2 linked regions of the Arabidopsis thaliana genome follow. The protein of the gene in region 1 purifies or fractionates together with the protein of each later gene. This does not show direct contact. Each region holds a gene or a part of one and is shown on either strand. Other genes may lie near its edges.

What was found.
Region 2: the proteins of ABCI14 (region 1) and AT1G27695 purify together in Arabidopsis thaliana (affinity purification with western blotting, with the first as the bait; one study listed by BioGRID). This does not show direct contact.

What each region holds. Positions count from the first base shown.
Region 1 is NC_003070.9:6,844,390-6,848,658, reverse strand, and holds ABCI14 (trigalactosyldiacylglycerol 1), read right to left. Parts: upstream 2,322-4,269; 5' UTR 2,189-2,321; exon of another isoform or gene 2,117-2,188; 5' UTR 2,031-2,116; exon of another isoform or gene 1,929-2,030; 5' UTR 1,848-1,928; coding exon 1,801-1,847; intron 1,711-1,800; coding exon 705-1,710; 3' UTR 537-704; downstream 1-536. UniProt on the Arabidopsis thaliana protein: Required during embryogenesis. Permease involved in lipid transfer from the endoplasmic reticulum (ER) to plastids, and necessary for thylakoids formation.
Region 2 is NC_003070.9:9,637,048-9,640,710, forward strand, and holds AT1G27695 (glycine-rich protein), read left to right. Parts: upstream 1-1,976; 5' UTR 1,977-2,075; intron 2,076-2,099; exon of another isoform or gene 2,100-2,160; 5' UTR 2,161-2,166; coding exon 2,167-2,206; intron 2,207-2,281; coding exon 2,282-2,326; intron 2,327-2,653; coding exon 2,654-2,686; intron 2,687-2,797; coding exon 2,798-2,955; 3' UTR 2,956-3,157; downstream 3,158-3,663. Other genes in the region: AT1G27690 (lipase, putative (DUF620)), read left to right, coding at 1-35, 278-628, 712-1,260; AT1G27700 (Syntaxin/t-SNARE family protein), read right to left, coding at 3,347-3,372, 3,472-3,658.

The sequences.
Region 1 (4,269 bases):
AACGAGATGGAGTGTTTGTGATTGGTGCAACGAATAGACCGGAGATGATGGATCCTGCGATTACAAGACCAGGGAGGTTTGGGAAACATATCTATATACCTCTTCCAAACTCTGTTCAACGAGGTTTGATTCTGAAATCTCTTGCGAGGAAGATTCCTTTAGACACAAGTGTTGATTTGGATGCTATAGCTAGGCGTTGTGAGAATTTTAGTGGAGCTGATCTTGAAGCTTTGGTTATAGAAGCTGGTTTGGCGGCTCGAGACGATGAGACAGGCTCGTACCCTCGTAGGACAAAGATGGTTCATTTTGAGGAAGCGTCGAGTCGTATGCAAAGCGGCAGGTGAAGAGAAAAGTCAAGAGATTGGCCAAGTTTTTCCAGTTTTCAACATTTTTTCAAAACTTCATGCTTATTTTTTTTGGATTATTGGTCAAGTAAGCTAGTTTGGTTTTACCATGTTATATCTGCTTGGTCAAATAAGATGTTATGTCATAAGTTCATAGCATAACATTTTAACTCCGCCCATACTGATTGCAAATTTTCCGATGAACTATATAGTTCAAGATTATTCAATGTGTATCATTATTGGAATAGAAATATAGCAATCTTTCTGTTCTTTCTAAAATGATGTTACTTTCTCAATTTAAGACAACTGATTTACATAAACCCATCTAAACCACAACAAAAGAAGACAGAAAATAATATGTCAAACACAGTTCTTCAAAGAATCTCCAGCACCTTGAAAGAAGAAGGAAGAAAGCACAAAGTCCGCGATGAAGATTCCGACAAGAGACATGACGACAGCAGAAGTTGTAGATTCTCCAACACCTTTAGCACCTCCAGTAGTGGTTACTCCCCAAGAACAACTAATTACCGATATTATAGCTCCAAAGACTTGAGATTTAATCATGGCACTCACAATGTCCCATGGTCTAAGTGCTCGGTGAGCCGAGTCCATGATTATGTTAATGCTGATCCCGTAAACTGCATCAGAGAGCAGAGCGCTTGAAGCCATACCAACAGTGAAACACATGAGTGTCAGAAACGGTAGAGCCAAACACGAGGCGATGACTCTTGGAGTGATTAGATAATCAATTGGGTCAGCTCCTAAAACACGGAGTGTATCAGTTTGCTCTGAGACTTGCATTGTCCCTAGTTCAGCTGCAAATGCACTTCCCATTCGTCCAGCAACAACAATCGATGTGATGACTGGACTTAGCTCTCTAGAGAAGGCTAAAGCCAAGACACCTCCAATGGATCTGTTTAGACCTAGTCTAGTGAATTCTCTAACGAACTGGATTGTGAAAGCCATACCAACAAATGTAGAAGTCAGAAGACAAACTCCTAGAGATTTCGGTCCGGTTCTCTCCAGCTGTTGAAGAGTGTTTCTCCAGTGAATCTTACCCTTTAAAATCCGGAGAACGACTTGTCCTGCTATAATAGGAACTGATAAACCTCTCCATATGTACTTAGAAGGTGACCATTTGCTGAACGGAAGCTCGGCTTCTTGACTGGGTGCGTTGTTTTCAGTAGAGGTTTCTTCTTCCAACATAGACATGGATGGGTGACCATCATTAGCATTCAAATTCACATATAATCTTCTTTGCCGTATCGGACTTGAAATCCCATAAGATTGAGTCTTTCCAATGAAACCAACTTGACAAAGCTTTGGGGGCTTAATACCAATCGAAGCATCAAACCGTGGAAAGACTCTGCAAAATTAATATTCAAGAATCCAAAATAACATATTCTGACAATGAAGCAAATGAGAAAGCTTATAAACTTATGGCAACACAAAATACCTATGAGGGAAACAAAACGATTGATGGATACAACAAGTCTGCATCATTGTGGTTGCCTTCTTCTTTACGACCTCACTGATTTAGTGCCTCTCAATTTGTAGCAATAAGCACGATTTCAACAGCTGAATCTGTAATAAACCCAGAATCAAATTGATTTACAATCAAATAGAATTAGGACACAACAGATTTTGCATAAGAGATCCAAATCGAGACAAAAAGTTTCCGGTGACCTGATCAATTAATCAATCTCTGACTCTGAGGCAGCCAAATTCGAATCCCAGTATAAGATATGTACGGACCAATCTAGGTGAAATCTCTACTATATAGAAGGGGAACAAATAATTAGGTCTATCAATCTTCTTACTGAAACAAAAACTTGAAAACTTACATTTAGAAACGAAACTAAGCTCGGAAGATCGAAGAAGCTTGCTTGAGAGGGTTCATCGAGAGAGAAAGTGGCACAGTGCCAACAACAACAACACACACAACTAACAGTTGCGAAGAAGATGTGTGGGTTTAACTCCCAACAAAACAAACAAAAAAAAAACCAATGGCAAAACATAAATTGGTCCGTGGGCCGTAAAGCCCAATATACTTTTACAAGTAAAGCGTGGGCTCTATGCCATTCACGGCAGGTCCACTTGTACTTTACACATAGACTGATACAGAAAAGTATAAATAAGAAAATAACAATGAGTGTTTTTCTCTATTGATCCAAAATGACAAAATATATGATCTAAACATTTTATGTTATTCTGTATATGTAAAGTGTTAATTATTTAATTGGTTGTATAAATCTACAAAGCTATTATATGAAATGTTTATACCAAGACAATCAATCAAATAAAGGCCTACATTTCATGTCCAGATTTGTACTAATATCCCCTTCATTGCTTACTAATATATAGTAAATTTAACTAAATGCTAACTTAACTATAATATAACCAATATCGAAAGGAGAAAGATGTGAAAAGAGGAATGGTGGTGGTCACGTGACAGTGATACTTGGTAACCTTTACGGAGACAACAACGTTATCTTTTTCTTCAGCCGGTCCGTTCTTTAAAAGCACACTCTCTGTATAATATATGCCTCTCTACGTTTTATATACTCACGTTTACCCTACTCTACACTACAAACCAAAAGCACTACTTCTCTCCTACACAAAACGTGATTCTACCAAATTGAATGCAAGAGTTTAGTAGAGGGTCTCGATTCTTAAAAAAAACAAACTGTCCTAGATGATATTTTGGAAATATAAGTTTAAGGAAACGCTGAAATTGGTTGCTTTAATTCGACTACTATATCTTTCGCATCTTAGAATTATATTAGAAGATATTCAATATTTGTATCTTTTACATTTTATATTTTTATGAGTATTCTATTTTAATTAGAGGTATTAATTTGTTAAGGTTTTAGAGTTTTATGTTACAAATTTACAATATTCAAGTGTTACGTTTTTAGCAAAACTTGTCTTCATTTCCGGTAGATTGATTAAAAAAGCACAACGAATCCCCAAAAAAATGGTAATTCAGGTATTTTAAATTAATCGAGTTCCTTGAACCGCTATGAACACTCAATTCAGTACCTTCCAAAGGAAATGTGTCTCAAGATCTCATGTTCAAGCTTCGCTGGTAGACAATGTACTATTTAGTTCATATCCTCCGACTCGAGAAAACTTTGACCCTTGGTTATTGTAAAAAGTGTTCTATACGTATACTTATATTCGTAATTTCGTAGATAGAGAGAAAGCATAATGTGATGCATGTGCATGGGATGGGCAGATGGGGCCCGCGGGCTTTACAAGGCCCATAAAGCTAAAAGAAGAGGAGAGGACCACGTGGCAGGGAGCTAGCTAGTACTACAAGTGGAGTGGATACTAAGAAGTAAGAAAGTAGGAATGAGTTGAATCTCGTGATCGCACTGTTTCTACTATTGGCAATGCAGTGTTGCTTTCGTCTAGGGTTTCAGAGCTATAGCCCCCTCTTCCTTAATTATTTCTTTTTTTCACTTTACTTTTCTCACCAATCCATGTCCAACTACACTTAAAATTGCATTACCGCAACATCTTATATGTGTCTATATTCGAAATATCTTCTGTGTATAGAATTGTATAAGCTAGCTACGGAATTACATTTTCGAACGACATATATTTGGATGTTCTAGTTTTTGTCATTTTTTTATTAGTGGTCTATCAAGCCGATGATTCTTGAAGTCTCCATTCCCGGTACATTATTGAATGTGAAGTTTAACCTCTCTTAAGATTGATCTCTCGCATAGGATCGAATCCCAAACATTAGCATGCATGCTTTCAAGTTTAACTAACGGTGTTTGAATAAAACAAAAACTATATCTTAACATTCCCTTAGATAACTTTCACATATTTTATGAGGGAGGATCGTTCTCAATCATACGCTAATGGTTAACAGTTTTGGTTACATGAGTGTTCACTAATGAGAGTTGTATTATAT
Region 2 (3,663 bases), 2.8 Mb from region 1:
TCCTTCCACACCTCAGTATCAAGAATACACCTATGGTGAGCTCTTAATTCACTGTTGTCTCCTCAAAATTAGGACAGTGTTGGGGATTTGGAGTTAATCATGTTGAATTAAGCTCTTCTGTGCCATAATCTAGCTTGAATTTAGCTGAATCTTCTTTTAGTTGCCTACTAATTACGGAGAAAGACTGCGCAATTAATTGAGATTTATCAAGTTTTATCTCTGCTTTAATGTGTTGAGGGTAAAGTCTAATGACTCTTACTAATACTTGAATTTTCAGGAGACTTCCTCTGCTCAGTACATACTTCAGCAGTATACGGCTGCATCAGGAGGTCAAAAGCTTCATAGTTCTGTGCAAAATGGATATGTTATGGGAAGAATCAGGACGATGGCTTCAGAGTTTGAGACAGGCTCAAAAGGTTCAAAGAGCAAGAATAATTCGTCAAAAGCTGTTGAGTCTGGAGGATTTGTGTTGTGGCATATGAATCCTGATATGTGGTACATGGAGCTTGTTCTTGGTGGGAGCAAGGTTCTTGCAGGTTGTGACGGGAAGCTTGTGTGGAGACACACACCATGGCTTGGACCTCATGCTGCAAAAGGACCGGTTAGACCATTACGACGTGCTCTGCAGGTTAGGCCTCTTGTCCCAAGGAAGCCTTCTCATACACTTTTCTTTGCTTGCATAACTGAATTGTTACTGTTGTCAACTTTCAGGGACTTGACCCGAGGACCACAGCGTATATGTTTGCAAATGCAAGGTGCATAGGAGAAAAAAAGATCGATGGAGAAGACTGTTTCATTCTCAAGCTATGTGCAGACCCGGCAACACTCAAAGCTAGAAGCGAAGGGGCATCAGAGACCATAAGACATACGTTGTTCGGTTACTTCAGCCAAAAAACCGGTCTGCTTGTTCACTTAGAAGACTCCCAGCTAACCCGAATCCAAAACAATGGAGGCGAAGCGGTTTACTGGGAGACGACCATCAACTCATACCTAGAAGACTACAAACCTGTCGAAGGTATCATGATAGCTCACTCTGGTAGATCCGTGGCTACGCTTTTAAGGTTTGGAGATATGTCATCAGGACATAACACTAAGACCACAATGCAAGAAGCATGGGTCATCGATGAAATCTCGTTCAATGTCCCTGGCTTGTCTATAGATTGCTTCATTCCACCTTCAGAACTCAGATTTGATTCCCACGTTGAAGACTTATCTCAAGGCCCCAAAATTAGGACATTGCACGGCCATAAAAATGGTTGATGTGAAGAAGCAGGAGATCAATGTGTATAACTCATTCAAAAACAAACCCTAGACCGGTTATTTTACTTTTGCTATTGTCGAAGCTAAAATTCTTGTAGGAAGTTTCGTTGAAGTTGTAAATAGACAGCAGGAGAAGTTCGTTCTTTTTGCCGCATAATGTTAGGAATGTGTAGTCTTAGTAAGGTCAGTCCAATTTTTAGTTTATAATATTGTTTCATATACTATGATAGAAGCTCCCATCTATTTCACCTAATAGCATATAGTATAAAGAAATATTACTTGGTCATCCATACCAATTGGAACTGATGAATACGATCTTCCTTGTATTGTATATCAATAAATTCATAGTGTGAGTGTAGTTTCTTTTGTAGCACAAACTAGTAAATGTTATTTCTCCTCCTACTGTCTATTTCAAACCGTTGCTCATTAGTTTACTCCAAAAAATGGCCATAAGTACTTATCTGTTTGTCTGTCTCAACCATCCAAATCCTATTTGTGAGTTGGATTTCAATGGGACATGAGCATTTTTGCATATGGATTGATCCATTTGCTCACTAGATCGTTTTATTTTACTGTTGACTGTTGTTGACCTTGAGAAAAAGAATTAGGCCGGTTCACTGTTGACCAAATTCTTTTACATAAAATCATTTTGAAAATAATCCCGGTTCATTAGTTAAACCGGTTCGATTAATTTGGTACGTCTCTAAAACAAATCGTCTTCACCTTTCTTCTCTTGCTTTCAGGGCTTGCGATTTTAAGTGGGGGAGGTAGAGAGAGCAATCTACCAGATTCACCGATTACCAACAACAAACAAGGTATCATCGGGTAATTCAGATTCGCAATTTCTGCTCATTTGAATTTATAGATTCCTAAATTGGTTTCTTTTTTTTTCTTGTGAAGATCACTATGGTGCTCTCTGACTTCACTGGAGTCGGTGTTGGATTTGGTAATGCCCCCATTCGCAATTGTTTTCTCCTTTTAATTTTGATTGGAATCGTAATTTAGTTATTGGAATTCATAGGGTTCGGTGTTGGTTGTGGATTTGGCGTTGGATGGGGTTTTGGAGGTTCGTTCTCAACTTCTCTCTTTTTCTGCTTTTACTTGAACAAAATCTGGACTGAATTACAAGATAATTCTATTGGAACAATTCTCTTGCTAGTTGCTATGGGATGTGCAATGCACTCTGCTGTGCTTGTTTAGTTTTGTGATCATATTGCTTAATGTCTCTTATAGAGATTATCAACTCCTACATATCATCTTTACTCAAATGCTTCTTCTTTCCTAGCTAATGGTTGCTTAAACGCATAGCTAGTATCAGTTGCGCTTACATTTTGATGGATTCATACTATTTTGCAAACCTACTGAATTGGAGATTTCCGTTGCTTTCATGCAGGAATGCCTATGAACATCTTAGGTGTTGGTGCTGGTAAGCATTTCAAACTTCTACTTCAAATATCCCACACTCGCATAGATACACACCGAGCAGGTTTTTCCTAAATTCTAATTACGTAACTTATGCGTCTGGTATTTGACAAAGGTGGCGGTTGCGGGGTGGGTTTGGGCCTCGGGTGGGGTTTCGGGACTGCGTTTGGGAGTCACTATCGTTCATCTAGACTTACATTTCAAGGCATCGAGTTAGAGACTGCCGATAAACGGGAGGAGGTGGTGGCTAACATGTCCAAAAACTCCACTTAAGCAGTCGTGTGCTTCAATACTCTGCTCGGATTGATTGTAAAAGAATTCTGACACCTTTTCTTATTTCTCAATGAAACGGTTACTTCAAATAATCCAATACGAAATGCATTTCTGTATTCTGAATTGTCATTTTTAGAAGGTTCCACTTCAATCTTGGGTTTAGTCCCAAATAATTCTACAATGGTTAATAGGATTGGTGCCTAAGAAAACAATGATTGCTCAATGAAACCCGTTTCAAATAATCGAACCAAAAAAATGCATTTCTATATTACAAACAACCAAAAACAGTTGGAATTTACTGTACAGTAAAAATGTGGATTGCCAAATTCGTCTCTTTCGCTGTTACACAGAAGATGAATGAACTCGAACCTTGCTATTCCAAACCTCTCTTCTACATTGAATGCACTGCAACTACCACTGCAATCAGAAAAAAAAACAATTTATCTCAAAACTCAAAAGTGATGCAGTAAGCTTTGCGTTCTAAACATAAATGATTCAGAGTTCAGTAAATCTTACCAATAAGAAAAACTAAAAGAATAATCCAAATTGCAGCGTGAACCGATTTACTATATCGCATTCGATACTGAGACCGTTGGAGTTGCCTCTGTAGAGCTCCATACCAACCATGAAGCTGCTTTTCATAACAGTCCTCCTCACACTCCATACAACTCTTGCCCCTCTCTGAACATCCATTCATATCTTGCTGAG